3 linked regions of the Nothobranchius furzeri genome follow. The protein of the gene in region 2 interacts with the protein of the main gene of each other region in a pairwise test. Links are inferred from orthologs where the notes say so. Each region holds a gene or a part of one and is shown on either strand. Other genes may lie near its edges.

Region 1 (5,294 bases), on a different chromosome or scaffold from region 2:
TCAGAGGGCCTGGTACTCCATACTCCCGTGCTTGAGCTTTTTCTTAATCAATGTCTAACTTAATGTTCATGCATTACATTCAATATGCAACAAAACACACATCTTACTTTGGTGCGCTTCTTCCTCCAGAAGTGCTTGTGAAATGTAGTTGATGGTCCGCAGGTATTCAAAGTAAGCTTCCTGCAGAGAGATCATCATCAGGTAAATAACTAGGGTCAACAATATTAATTATTACTGAAGCTGGATTATGGTGACGTGAATTACAGACATGCATCTTCTTCTCACTCTGAATACAGTCTAAAATGGTGTTTTGAGATTTATTACATATTTTAAATTGCTTTCACATCATTGTCTGCAATTTGATCCAGCTGACTCTTCTGGCTTGTCTTGTAAAATAAAATAAAGCACTGGTATATTTACATTTATGAAGCTATGTGAGCCAAAAAATATGTGAATCCACCTTATTTTCTACATTTTTAGTCATTTTAGTTCTCCGTGCAAACTAGTTAGATGATTTCAGACGCTATTAGCTGACCTGCAGCAGTTTAACTGCCTCATTATTATAATTATTGTTGTTGTTGTCCACACTGGAAGAAGTTTCATGTTGTCTGAAAATCTCAGTAAAAGCTCACCAGTGATAGATCACGACAGATAGCTAGTAAGATTTTTAAAAAAGCCAATAAGTCTAAAATGAATAATTGAAGCTAATTAACACTTATGTGCTAACAGATGTTCGATTTTTCTTTCAAACATAAATAATTCAAATAAAATAGAGCTGAGATATCCCGCAGGTATAGACAATACTACTGGTGTTAACAATAATATCGTTATAAAAGTGTTTTACTGCACTAACTAGTGAAGTCCAATCAGTATTTGTTGTTTATAGAAATGTATACCAGTATTAAAACTTAATTAACCAAACCAGTCTCGTTGATTCAGAATACATATAAAATAATTTAAAAAAAAAACGTAAGCAGATGGAATAATTATGAGCAGCAGGCTCCAAGCAGGTTTACTGGGTTTACGGAAATTTCAGCTCAATTTTAGCCTCCGTCCCTTTGGTCTGTTTACATTTCTACTCTTTTCTGTCCGGTGGAAACAAAAAGCTCAACATCACGTTCCTGCTGATCTACCTTATGTTTGTTGTCTCCGTCCAGTTGAATGGCTGTTTTTGCCATTTTCATGGCATTTTGAAGAGGTTTCACGCCGCTGTCAGTTGTAGCCATGGTGGTGTTTGGGATGCTTTTTTTTTGCCTTCTTCTTCTTCAAAAAATTGTCTTCTTCGTTGTTTGCACTCAAGAACAAATAAACACCGCCCCCTGCTGTTCATTGTCTTCACATGACACTCTTCCCCTAACTTTGGCTAATCAAGAGCAAATATTTGAAATTCACATGACTTGTTATTCATAATGAGAGGACTAAACAACCCCCCCAAAAATATAGAGATTACATCCTTTAACATAACTTTTAAAAATGGTAAATAAACGTGTTGGAGAAGAGTGCTTTGTTTGTGAACACACGAGACGAGTTAGAAAAAACACATGAGTCATATGTTCACCATAATCTAATAGAATACAATTAGCCACAAATCACTCTTTTGCGACTCATCTATTTTGAGTCACAGGATTGTGACGCTCCTTGTCCGGTAGGGGGCGCAGTGTCATATTTCCTTTGTTTTATTTCGGTAGCACTTCCGGGTTCTAATGTTTACATCTGGTCGCAGCTTGTTAGCCACGGAGTTTTCTTTATTGTAAAAAGGAACTCTGTTGTTATCGCAAAAGAAAATGTGTTCCGAGTGTTAGGATCTGTGCACACTCACGGTATGCTCTGCCTAAAGGCGACATTAACTTTATTATAAATGCTCGTGACTAACTGAAACTGCGCATACTGACTCAAGCTAACCAGCTAACGTCAGGTTTTGTGATACAACGCTAGAAAAATTTGTTGTAAAGTTAAATGTACCAAACGTCTTTGTGTGTTTTTTAAATGTCCATGAAGCTCATTATTTCTATTATAGAACGTTTTTCATAACAAGACTAACGCGAATGCGACTTAAAAATGATCAACTTTACAAAATACCGATATTAAATTGTCTTTCTATTTATCTGCCTGTAGAAAAAATGTGTAGTTTCTCCTCTCTGTTCTTACACTGCAAATTAGAAACGTGTAAAAATAATACACATTTTAAGGATTTTAAAAAATATAGATAATGCACCATTTTAGAATAATCAATCACATTTAACTGATTTTATGAAAGTTTTGGTCAATATTAGTTTCCTCCAGTCAAGAGATTTTTTGCAAAACACTTCTCAGAATTTTATTCATTCATTCATTCTTTGGTTTGTTGCTTTCTTTGAGATCAGATTGTGCTGACATACACACAGAAGGCCAGTGGAACAAATAGAAGTTTGTTTTCGTATGTTTTTCCACAGTGGCACAGGCAGCAGAGCACACCTCACAGGATCAGCTGCTGACACACAATAAACGATGAGGAAGAAAATCAGGCGTCTAAAAACATCAGAGATTTCACGTCTGGCCAGTCGGATCCAAACAGCAGCAGATGTGAGTGAGGACAAAAAGCTGTCTGGCAACAGAGGAAAACCCTGTAAGGCCATTTCTTCAACCACCTACAGCTTTTGTGTTGACGGTATAGAAACGGACAAGGCCGCTGCCTCAGACCTCAACATGAAAAGTGCAAACGATATGCAGAAAGAGCAAGAGAGCAAGACCAGACCTTCAGGTGAGTATACTACTTTTAAGTAGTTCATAGCTGGAAATGCAAGAAGGCCGTAGCATCAGTGCCTTGGTCAAGGGTCAAAGGCTAACACCTATAAAAACCTCATTGCTGTGTTTCCGAGTGTTACCTTGTGTCTATGGTCTGAGTGCAGGTGCTAAAACTCATTGATGGGGTTGTTTGAACTTGAACAATTTCGATTCCAATTCCTTGTTTCAATTCTAGTTCCTAGTGATTCTCGATTCTTTCAAGCGGCTAATAACTTTACATGTTTTAAATGAGCCAGTTAACTGTAGGTCTTACTTGATGAAATGGCCCTGAACATCTCCATTACATTTAGTTTTATTAACTTTCGAAAGTGAAGCCACACTTTAGAACATGGTAACGCAAACACTCCTGGTGGAGTCCTCGTTGTTGGCATTCAATCCAATCCAATTTTATTTATAGAGCGATTTCACAAGGCATTACAACCAAACAAGGCGCTGTACACTAAAAATGTTAGTTAATTAAACCGGCGTTATACAAACATGCCGAACACAGATAAAGATAAAAAGGAAATACAACAAAATTCCCAAAAATAACAGCTAAAAATCAATAAGACACAGGGTGAATAAAAAAATTAGAAAAACATTTTAAAAAGAACCTCAATAGTACGGAAGTCGATAATTGTGGAGTCCATTTTTAAACAGTGCAGATGTAAGTGATGGTCATAATTATGTTGTATAAGCTAGGTTGAAGTAGTGAGTTTTCAGGCATGATTTAAAAATGCTAGCTGTTGGTGCTTGCCTCACTAGCAGTGGTAATGCGTTCCACAGCTTGGGTGCACAGACAAAGCCCTCTCTCCACGGCTTTTTAAACGTGCCTTCGGAACAGCTAGGAGGAGCTTATCTTCAGACCTGAGAGCACGCGGCGGGTTGTAGTAATGGACAAGTTCACACAGATATGGAGGAGCTTGATGGTTCAAGGATTTGTAAGTCAGAAGCATAATTTTGAAGTTTATCCTGAACTGCACGGGCAACCAGTGGAGAGATTTCAGAATTAGAGAAATGTGTTGTCTTCTGTCAGCTCCAGTCAGCAACCTAGCTGCTGAATTCTGGACCAGCTGAAGTCTAGAAAGAGCTGCTTTACTGATGCCGTATAAGCAGTATATTCAGTGACTTCTTGCTGTTGGCGGACTGAAAAACGAAACTACATATCAGAATAGAAAATTTGAACAATTCCAGGAAAAACTGAAAATTGGTCCTGATTACAATCAATGCTCGATGCCCTACCCTACTTGTTGAACAGCGGATGTGATTAATCGTTGGAGATGTTATCCCAGCCCCTCCTGCTGTGCTTCTATTAGCATACCTGCCCACAACTGGTTCAGCAAGTTCAGCTCTCTCTGTGGGAGGGTACACGAGGTAACAGGGTACAAGGCAATCTCAGTGAAAGCTTCATAAAACATCTCCATCTTCGGCTTGTTAATTAGAAAATGAGATGACTTGTTGTGAATTAGCGCTATATTAATGAACTGAATAGTTACCTTTAATACTTTAATCACTTTTGTGAATCGCCTGCACCAACGGCTTAATTACTTATTCACAAGGATGCAGTCATGTATTTAATTATTGAGATATGCGATTGTTTGTTTTGCACTATCCTGCATGGTACTACTGTAGATCATTTTTTAATGTATATTGTATATCATATTTCTATTTCACCTGTTCCTTTGTCACTCCGACTGCTTTGAGCGTGTACATGACACAAGAATTTCCCTCGGGATAAATAAAGTTGTTCTTATCTTATCTTAATAGTGCAGCCTTTGGTGGCCTCTCTTACACATTTTGGCATCGTAGTTTAAAATGCAGCCTGGAGTCGATCCCTGTAAATACCTTTAGGAGTCTGCCAGTTCCTTAACTTCTCCTTTTCTGCCTTGTGTATTTGTTTGTATCCTGTAGTACTTTGTACTTTTTCTTAAGTTCATTTTTTATGCTCACAACTGGAGTATTTAGTCTCAGGTTTTTCGTAATTAATGAAATTATTTGTATTGTGATTGGTACTCGGAGGAACCAGGATGTACTTTTGCCTCTTCACAGGCAGACTGTCCACTGCTGTCTGCCGGCTTTGCCACGGAAAGTTCTCCCCACGCAGCCTTCGGCACGCCTTCAACAGATGGCCTCAGGATTCTCTGGAAATGGTTGACGAGTCAGACGCCACGTCCCAGCCTCCTCTTTTGTTTCACACAGATTTCCAGAGGTTGGTTGGGGTCCAACTGGACCGTGACCCCCGACTTTCAGAGTTTATCTGTAAAAAATGCTTTGCAAAGTTCTACAAGTGCCACAATATCCTGATCAGGTTCCTGCAGAGGGTCAACCTCCCTCCTGTTGGAAAGGAGAACCTGCAAAGTCGGTGAGTTGTGGGGGGAAATGCAGCTGAGGGCTTATTTAAAAGTCAGAGTTTATTTAAATGTAAAACCAAGTAATTTCTTTTACTTTTTAGGAAGAATTCAAAGTGTCAAGAGTCTTCATTAATTCACAGCTCCGGATGTAAATAAGATCAGAATTTTCAAAAACATCTT
Region 2 (4,825 bases):
CTCAGGATGTGCTGAAGAGGAAGCAGATAGAGGAGGAAGAGCAGAGGCCCCAGCACAGAACCTTGTGGGACACCATGGGTAAGAGAGGTGGTGGAGGACCTAAACTTGGAGACGGCCACAGAAAAGGAGCGCTCAGAAAGATAAGAGGAGAACCACTCCAGAACAGTTCCTGATTGGCCTACCCAGTCTCTCAGCCTCTCCAGTAGCAGGTGATGGTCAACAGTGTCAAAGGCTGCAGTCAGGTCCAACAGGACCAGAACAGAACAGAACAGTCCCCTGCATCACTGTGAGTCAGAAGGTCATTAGAGACCCTAAGAAGAGCTGTTTCAGTAGAATGAGCTCTACGGAAACCTGACTGGAAGCTATCATAGATGTTCTGTTCATCAAGAGCAGCTGTGAGTTGTTTAGCCACTGTCACATTCTGCTCCTGCCTCCCTGACTGTGTCTCTCCCCTGCCGTTTATTAGTCCCTACTGGTTTCACCTGCCCAGGTGTTCCTGATTTGCCCCTGTGTATTTATACCTCCCTTCTTGTATCAGTCTTGGTCAGATCATTGTTTGTTGTCAGCGTTGTTTTTGTTCTGTCGTTCCCGCTCTGCCATTAAAACTACTTTTATTTCATCCGTGCCTGCATTCCTGCCTCCTGATCTGCTCCACCACACGTGGTCTGCCGTCATCCACACCCTCAACATGACAGCCACAGCCTTTTCCAAGATCTTGGAGATGAACGGAAGTTTAGAGATGGGTCTGAAGCTGCTACGGAGAGAGGGGCCCAGACTCGGTTTTTTAAGAAGCGGGTGGATTACAGCGTTCTTATAGTAAGCAGGGACCTGACCGGAAACCAGAGAAGCATTAATTACAGAGAGCACGCTGGGACCGATGGACTGAAAAGCACTTTTAAACAAAGATGAGGGTAAGATGTGGAGGGGGCATGCAGAGCATGCCCCCTCCACATCTTACCCTCATCTTTGTTTAAAAGGCTCAGGAACCCTTTGCAGCTCTGGATTCATCAGCTGACTTTAAGTCTGGAATATTGAATCTTTTCCCAACATTCTGACTGAGATTTAGAATGTGGGGTTTTCATCAGCTGTAAGCCGTAATCATCACAGTTAAAACAAATAAAGGCTCAAACATCTGGATTTGCACAGACTGAGTCTGGCTCATGGATTAGTTTAACATTTTTTAGTCGAAATACTGAAATAATAAGCGTTTGCGCGGTATTCTCATTTTTCAAGTTTCATCTGCAAGAGTCACCGTGACAACAGATGTGTGATTTCCTTTCCCTTCTGCTGACTTTGTGATGTTCGTGAGTCAAAACTGAGCCTAAATTTTTTCCATCTGAACTCCAGCAGACATTTTCATCCCGCCAGACGGACGCAGGCGTGCCCGTGTTCCAGTAAGGACCTAGATGAGTGAGTTTGCTGTAGAGGAATGTGTCCAATCTCATAAATGCACTTTAGGAAAAATAAAAAAGAGACATCCCAGAATAATTGAAGTTGTTGTAACTGCGAAGGGTGTCCCAGTCCGTGCCCGTGTAAACATTCCGATTCTTTTTAGTGCAAATTTAAACTTTAGCTTGAAGGTCTCAGTTTAATTAATGAGCATCCACAGGACCCCTGTAGTCTGATGCAGTAACGAGCTGTATGCTGTCTCCTGCAGGCAGCCTCAGAGGTGGTTCAACACGGCTGACATCACCGCGTCTCACCAAAGCAGCCTGCTTAAGCAGCTCAACCAGCAGCGCCGCCAGGAGCTCTTCTGTGACTGCAGCGTGCTCGTGGAGGGCCAGCACTTCAGGGCACACCGTAACGTCTTGTTCGCCAGCAGCGGCTACTTCCGCATGCTGCTGTCCCAGGGGTCCGACGGGCTGCCCGACACCGCCAGCGCCACCTTCGACGTCTTCAGCCCAGAGACTTTTACCGTCATCCTAGATTTCATCTACACGGGCCAGCTGGACCTGTCCAGTCACAACGTGATTGAGGTGATGTCTGCAGCCAGCTACTTGCAGATGAACAGCGTCATCAGCTACTGCAAGAACTTCATCAAGTCCTCTTTGGACATCAGTGTGAAAGAAGAAGACAGCGATCGGTGCCTCAGCTTGTCTGAGACATGTTCGTTCACGAGTGGAGCAGGAGAAGAGTCCACGGAGCACCAGCAGCAAGGTCCCCGCTCCGTCAGCCCACCGCCTGCACTCTGGACCCGCGACAGCTCCAGATCCCAGTCTGGCTTTTTTGGAAAAGACTCAGAGCAGGACGCTTCCTCCTTAGCCTTGAAGACGGATCCAAGCAGCCCTGTTAACGAAATTAGCGCAGAGGTAGACGACCTGCAGGACCCCCAGGACCCACTGTACACATTACCAGGATCAGAGCGCCGGCGTGGAAGAGGAGGAGCCAAGCGGAAAGTGTCTAACAGCAGTCGCTCCAGCCAGCACGAGGATCTGGACATTCAGGAGGCGCGGACTCGAAAGGCTGAAAAGGCAGAGGAGCTTTATGCCACTCTACCGCCCATCGTCGGTGTTATTAGTCACTTTAATAAAGGTGCGTCTAGCTGTGTATGACCCAAATAGCGCGTTTAGCTTTTAGCAATGTGATAAAGCAACATTTTCTCATGAAACAGGCTTGGCAGAAGAAAAAATATATACAGATATCTCAAACTCTTTCTTTTGTAGATTCTAATCCAATCATGCGCTTCAAGTGCCCCTTCTGCACACACACGGTGAAGAGGAAGGCCGACCTGAAGCGCCACCTGCGCTGCCACACTGGGGAGAGGCCGTATCCGTGTCAGGCCTGCAACAAGCGCTTCACTCGCCTGGAGCATCTCCGCAGCCACTTTGAGACGGTGAGTCTTGTCACAGCTGGGAGGCAGCACCTATTTTAGTTTGTTTATGGAGCCTCCAGTTGACACAAACGCTCAGGATGATTCATACCTGCTACTGAAAAAGGAAAACAGTGGTTTAAACGTGTTTCTGAAACGTTGCCATGTCCAAAGACCAGAACCAGCATCTGAGTTGATTTCTAGCTTCATTTATTCATAAACATTGTTAAACTAGTTTGCTTTCCCACAGATCCATCAGGCCAGGAAGCTGGTGTGCAGGAAGTGCAAGTGTCAGGTGACAGAAGAGACTGGACATGTGGTTTGTGAGGGAACACGCCGTTACCGCATGTGCACCGCCTGCATCCAGGAAGTGGGCTGCGACGACGTCCCCATGGACGGTCTGCAGACGTCCAATGACGAGCCGGCCCTGCTGCTAGGCGTGGACGGCGAGGAGGAGGGGGACGCTAAAAGAACCTGGATGGTAAACGATGACGATGACCTGGCTGAAGACTCGGGAGCAGATCTCATCATCCAGCAGGTGGACGACAGCGACGAGGAGCTGCAGTGAAGTTGGATCAAAATGTGTGCAGATAAAAAGCCATGCTAGAGAATTTATGGACAAACTGAAGCCCACACCTGTATATACACACACCTGTGATGTGTTAGACATCAACTAGTTAAATTCAACTATTATTTTATTTAGCTGAGATTGTGGTGCAGGTGGAAAGTTATTCGTTGATCTTCTGGAAGATATACGGTATCCAAAGCATGCATATAATCAATGTTTCAGTTGTTTCAGTTGTAGTTATATGATAACTCTTATGAACTCTTTTGAATCTTTATATGCACGACCAAACGTCACAACTTTGGTGGATTTTTTGGACCATTTTTTGGCATTAAAGCCAACATTAATCACTCAGAAATGATGGCAGTCGTCCCAGAGAAGGGAAAGTTTATTTTTCAGTGTTTGTCTGCAGTTTAACCAGTGCTTGTGATATGCACTATGTTATGAACAACTATTTATTTATTTGACTTCTTTGTTTTATTTTATTTTTCACTCATTAAAGATATTTTTATACCGTTGTTTTGTGTGTGTGTGTGTGTGTGTGTGTGTGTGTATTAGAGATTTAAAACTTGGAGGGTCCAAACTAAAGAAAAATGTTCCATTCTGGATTACAATACCTGATTATTTATTTTAAACAGTGTGTAATCTAAAGTAGATACAATTTCTAAAAATGTTTAAAACCTTCCAAAAATATACTTTTAAATCCCTGCACCATCATGAGGTGGTGCTTATTTGGTAGTACACGCCAAAGAGCATTTAAATACCCCCAAAGCTGTTGTTTATTACACTTAAGTATAAAGAAGAATGTTTTATTGAAGAAAAATGACCTGGAAAATGCAGAGCTGGGCCCTAATACTTTATTTTCATATAGGATGTAACAACACGAGGTTTGATCAGGCTTATATTTAGGTTAGTAAAGTTTATTCATAATGCCTTTCCCAGGGAAAAAAACAAAGTGCTTAGTGAATACTATCAAAAACACAAAAAACAAAAATAAATTAAATAAATATACAATTATATTATTACGCACACACACATTATATATAAATATTTATATACATATATATATGTGTGTGTGTGTGTGTGTGTGTGTGATTATTATAATTAAATATTCAATAAATCATTTTTTGTGTATTTGATAGTATTCACTAAGCACTTTGTGTGTTTTATTCCTGGTAAGGGCATTATGATTATATATATATATATATATCTATATATATATATATATAGATATATATATATATAATATTTAGTAACATAACATTTATTTGTGCTCTATTCATCCTCTGAGCATTTCATTCAGTGTGTTTATTTGACCAGTAGATGGCGCGCATGCGCTACTTCAACACAAAACTCTTAATTTCGCTCGCGGCGAGGTGACGTCAGAGCCGAGGCAGGACCGCAGGAGTGATGGCCGCTGCTATGAGGCTGGTAAACAAGAAGATTTTCAC
Region 3 (4,808 bases), on a different chromosome or scaffold from region 2:
TGCCGAATGCCAAATCTGAGTCAGATCACAACCACCTGCATAAAAACAATACAAAAATAGGTGGGAGACCACTGCAGGCCACAGAGATTTAAACGTAAACAACCAGACCTCTCTAACCCCGATGGTTTAAGACTCTCTCTGAGATAACGTAGAAGTTTAGCTCGGCAGTGGTTTGTTCAAGGTTAACTTTCTATGTGCAGTCAGCCTTAGGGATGTAGGAAAACATCGATAAGCGGATACTCGCCACATTCCTGTAATGACCCTGAATCGAGATTTAAAAGCAGCGTATTGGTTTTTAATGAAGAATTTACAGACTAACGTTTACTGTGTTTTTTTATGTGGTGCAGTTCAAACTCCCACAGCTAGGTGGCAGCAGTTTTTACCCTCTTCCTTTCTGATGGAACAATGAGATCTAGCGATAGCACGGGATGTGCCTTGGAAGTGTCTGGCTTGGGGTTTTCTAATCAAATCCAGTCATAAAAAAGGATTTTAGCATCACGTTAAATCGTATCGTCTCCCCAGCACGGTGATTCGTATCGTATCGTCTCCCCAGCACGGTGATTCATATCGTATCGTCTCCCCAGCACGGTGATTCGTATCGTATCGTCTCCCCAGCACGGTGATTCGTATCGTATCGTCTCCCCAGCACGGTGATTCGTATCGTATCGTCTCCCCAGCACGGTGATTCGTATCGTATCGTCTCTCCAGCACGGTGATTCGTATCGTATCGTCTCCCCAGCACGGTGATTCGTATCGTATCGTCTCCCCAGCACGGTGATTCGTATCGTATCGTCTCCCCAGCACGGTGATTCGTATCGTATCGTCTCCCCAGCACGGTGATTCGTATCGTATCCTCTCCCCAGCACGGTGATTCGTATCGTATCCTCTCCCCAGCACGGTGATTCGTATCGTATCCTCTCCCCAGCACGGTGATTCGTATCGTATCCTCTCCCCAGCACGGTGATTCGTATCGTATCGTCTCCCCAGCACGGTGATTCGTATCGTATCGTCTCCCCAGCACGGTGATTCGTATCGTATCGTCTCCCCAGCACGGTGATTCGTATCGTATCGTCTCCCCAGCACGGTGATTCGTATCGTATCGTCTCCCCAGCACGGTGATTCGTATCGTATCGTCTCCCCAGCACGGTGATTCGTATCGTATCGTCTCCCCAGCACGGTGATTCGTATCGTATCGTCTCCCCAGCACGGTGATTCGTATCGTATCGTCTCCCCAGCACGGTGATTCATATCGTATCGTCTCCCCAGCACGGTGATTCGTGCCGTATCGTCTCCCCAGCACCAGCACGGTGATTCGTATCGTATCGTCTCCCCAGCACGGTGATTCGTATCGTATCGTCTCCCCAGCACGGTGATTCGTATCGTATCGTCTCCCCAGCACGGTGATTCGTATCGTATCGTCTCCCCAGCACGGTGATTCGTATCGTATCGTCTCCCCAGCACGGTGATTCATATCGTATCGTCTCCCCAGCACGGTGATTCGTGCCGTATCGTCTCCCCAGCACAGTGATTCGTATCGTATCGTCTCCCCAGCACGGTGATTCGTATCGTATCGTCTCCCCAGCACGGTGATTCATATCGTATCGTCTCCCCAGCACGGTGATTCGTATCGTATCGTCTCCCCAGCACAGTGATTCGTATCGTATCGTCTCCCCAGCACGGTGATTCGTATCGTATCGTCAGGTCTGTGCCGGTACACGCCTGTCTTTCTGTGTCTCTCGGGTGAAACAGCTGAGCCTTTTTCAATTCCCCAGCCCTAACCTCGTTCTGTTTGCAGGAAACCGAGGTGATGGCCGATGTCCGTCAGGCACCAGGTGAGCCAGCAGCAGAGGAGCAGGAGGATGAAGGTGCAGGTGACCTGGAGGGTGCAGCTGATGACACGGATGAGGAGTATTTCCTCATTGCTGAGAGCAGTCCCACCTCTGCGTCCACGCCGGCGACACAGAAATGCAAGACTCCGAATAAAACAAATGATAAGAACGCTGCTGCTGCAGAGGACAAAGACCCAGTCGCGTGTCCCATCTGCAACAAGTCCTTCAAGAGCAAATACTACCTGAAGGTCCACAACAGGTACAGAGTTTGTCCGTCCGTGTCCCGGAGGTCTCCGTAGAGAGAGAGCAGCCACTGACGTTTTGTGTCCCGCAGGCGGCACACAGGAGAGAAACCCTTTGGGTGCCTCAAGTGTGGGAAGAGGTACTTCAGAAAGGAGAATCTGCTCGTCCACGAGAGCAGAGACTGCAGTAGAGGGCTGGTGAGTGGCGACAGATCAGTGAGGGGGTCTGCCCTTGTTTTCCAGGGAGAACTTAGTGTTTGTGCTGCTGTGATTCCAGACGTACGCCTGCTCAACCTGCTCCTCCAGCTTTAACACAAAGGAGGAGCTGCGGGTGCATGTCGTAACCCACACGGGACAAATGCCACACCAGGTGAACGTCCCTCCCAGTCCACACGACTGATCAAATGGGTTCTTGCAAATACAGTTTTGTCTTCTTCTCTTAGTGCTTAATGTGTAACGAGCAGTTTATGTACAAGAAGAAGCTGACGACGCACATGATGAAGGTCCACGGCCATCCCAAACCACATGTAGTGAGTACCCAGACGTGTGCTCCCCGTTTAAAGGCTGGAAAGGTGTCTTATTCGCAGTCCTGTCAAATAGTGTCCTCAGTGTCCTAAAACCTTCCTGACGCGGACAGAGCTACGCGTGCACGAAGCAGCCAAGCATCGAGGGGAAAAGCCGTTTGTGTGTGAGGAGTGTGGCCATCGAGCATCGAGTAGAAACGGTCTTCAGATGCACATCAAAGCCATTCACAGGTTCGTTTGTCACTAGGGATGCACTGATGCTGGTATCGATATCAGTAAAAGTTAACCGACACCAGTGCAGCTGCTTGAAAATGGCTTCACTGTAACTCGTCATTTCTGTTCACCAAATATTTTAGTTTTGTGATCATTTCTATTCATATATTTAACTTTTTATCTACCTCACAGTCTTTTCCTGTTGAAAGCAGAGAAGAAAATAAAATCTGTAATCCAAATCATTGCATTTTTTTGTGTGGTAGAAGTATCGGTATCGGCAATCGGGATCGGCGAGCATTCAGATCCAAGTATCGGTATCGTATCGGTTTGGGAAAAAGCGGTGTCATTGCATCCCTATTTGTCACTTATGAAAATAAAACTTTAAATCAAACCTGACCTGACATCTTCAAGCGGCCCTTAAAAGTACCAGGAAGCATTAAACAAGGACACAGCTAGTGATGGGACTTGAGTCGATGTCTGCCGGTATGTGGTAGGAATATTTTCCACATCACCGCTGAGTCCTGGGATCATGTGATCAGCAGTCTGATCCCAGAGAGCGATGATCTTCAGCTGAGAGAAGATGTCAGGTGGTCTGGGCATCAGGCAGGACTTTCTGGATGAGGAATATTTGAATTTTGTTCATCTGGATTATCGTTAAAAGTAACAAACACTCTGAGCATCTTTTCAAAATAAGTGTAGTAATCTAGTTACTAATGAGTGCTCTGATGATTACAGCTTAAACACTTTAATTGTAAAATATTTCTGCACGCATATTTTCTCAAAAACATTGAAAATAGAAACCAATAAACTTCACTTGACAGGTCATTAAACTTTAATGAGTCAGAAAAGGGTAGAATGCCTTCTCCGGGTCAGGGATGAGGTCCTGCCTCAAGTGGAGGAGTTTAAGCATCTCGGGGTCTTGTTCACGAGTGAGGGAACACTGGAGCGTGAGATCGATAGGCGAGTTGGTGCTGCATCTGCAGTGATGCGGGCGTTGTACCGGTCTGTCGTGGTGAAGAGAGAGTTGAGCTGGAAAGCCAGGCTCTCAATTTACTGGTGGATCTACGTTCCTACCCTCACCTATGGTCACGAGCTTTGGGTCGTGACCGAAAGAACGAGATCGCGGATACAAGCGGCCGAAATGAGTTTTCTCCGCAGGGTGGCTGGGCTCTCCCTTAGAGATAGGGTGAGAAGCTCGGTCATCCGGGAGGGGCTCGGAGTAGACCGGCGGTACGTGGCTCACAAAGAAAGACCCTATTGAGTGCCGCTGGTTTAAGGTCTCAAATGTGTAAAATTGAATTTTATATTTCCCTATTTTTTAGTTGGGATGGACAATTCCATCGGTATCGGCCGATGTTAGTCATTTTTTAACATATCGGTATCGGTTCGATAAATAAAACCGGGCCGATGTTAACAATTGATATTTTTTCCATCTCGTCTCCGTTTGTTTGCCTGTTTCAGAGGGGGGTGGGGGTGGGGTGTCATTGATTAGTCGTGTGAACAGTGAATGAAATCATCTCAGAACCGTAAATGCGTGTGTGTGTACATAACGTAAATTCAGCTTTAATAATTTTCATTCTATACAAAATCTGCTGATTTTAGAAGCATTAATGTCAGTAGATCGATACCGGCAAATATCGGTTATCGGCCATAACAGTGATCTTAATATCGGTATCGGCCAAAAATTTTCATATCGGTGCATCACTACTTTTTAGTCATCTTGCCAGAACTCGTTTGATTGTCAGACCCTGAATGTTGAATTAATGAGAAACAAACTCTGGTGGCTTTGATCAGAATTAACAGATTAATTTGATTTATTATTGTGATCACATCATCAAGGCTAATTTTAGCTGTTTTCTGTCTAAATCTGTAAAAAAACAAAAGGTGATTTAATCTGTGAGAACAAAACTAATCAACAGTTTGCTCCGGTCACCGTCTGAATCCTGCTTTGACCCGCGTTCTTGTTCTGCTCCACAGGAACGAGCGGCCTTTCGTTTGTA

What was found.
Region 1: the proteins of zbtb8a (region 2) and znf276 interact in binary tests that used the Homo sapiens proteins (3 or more experiments, as listed by UniProt). The two-hybrid records come from large-scale screens. The link is inferred for Nothobranchius furzeri from reciprocal best matches to the Homo sapiens genes ZBTB8A and ZNF276.
Region 3: the proteins of zbtb8a (region 2) and zbtb48 interact in binary tests that used the Homo sapiens proteins (3 or more experiments, as listed by UniProt). The two-hybrid records come from large-scale screens. The link is inferred for Nothobranchius furzeri from reciprocal best matches to the Homo sapiens genes ZBTB8A and ZBTB48.

Annotation. Positions count from the first base shown.
Region 1 is NC_091744.1:86,422,189-86,427,482, reverse strand, and holds the start of znf276 (zinc finger protein 276), read left to right. Parts: upstream 1-1,682; 5' UTR 1,683-1,820; intron 1,821-2,432; 5' UTR 2,433-2,487; coding exon 2,488-2,740; intron 2,741-4,812; coding exon 4,813-5,125; intron 5,126-5,215; coding exon 5,216-5,262; intron 5,263-5,294. Other genes in the region: vps9d1 (VPS9 domain-containing protein 1), read right to left, coding at 108-180, 1,134-1,226. UniProt on the Homo sapiens protein: May be involved in transcriptional regulation.
Region 2 is NC_091758.1:35,822,760-35,827,584, reverse strand, and holds the end of zbtb8a (zinc finger and BTB domain-containing protein 8A), read left to right. Parts: intron 1-1,347; coding exon 1,348-1,410; intron 1,411-1,657; coding exon 1,658-2,532; intron 2,533-2,663; coding exon 2,664-2,833; intron 2,834-3,059; coding exon 3,060-3,377; 3' UTR 3,378-3,892; downstream 3,893-4,825. Other genes in the region: hmgcl (hydroxymethylglutaryl-CoA lyase, mitochondrial), read left to right, coding at 4,785-4,825. UniProt on the Homo sapiens protein: May be involved in transcriptional regulation.
Region 3 is NC_091755.1:39,586,062-39,590,869, reverse strand, and holds part of zbtb48 (telomere zinc finger-associated protein), read left to right. Parts: intron 1-1,795; coding exon 1,796-2,088; intron 2,089-2,163; coding exon 2,164-2,269; intron 2,270-2,348; coding exon 2,349-2,441; intron 2,442-2,514; coding exon 2,515-2,601; intron 2,602-2,671; coding exon 2,672-2,826; intron 2,827-4,785; coding exon 4,786-4,808. UniProt on the Homo sapiens protein: Plays a critical role in transcriptional regulation and chromatin remodeling. Acts as a regulator of telomere length. Directly binds the telomeric double-stranded 5'-TTAGGG-3' repeat.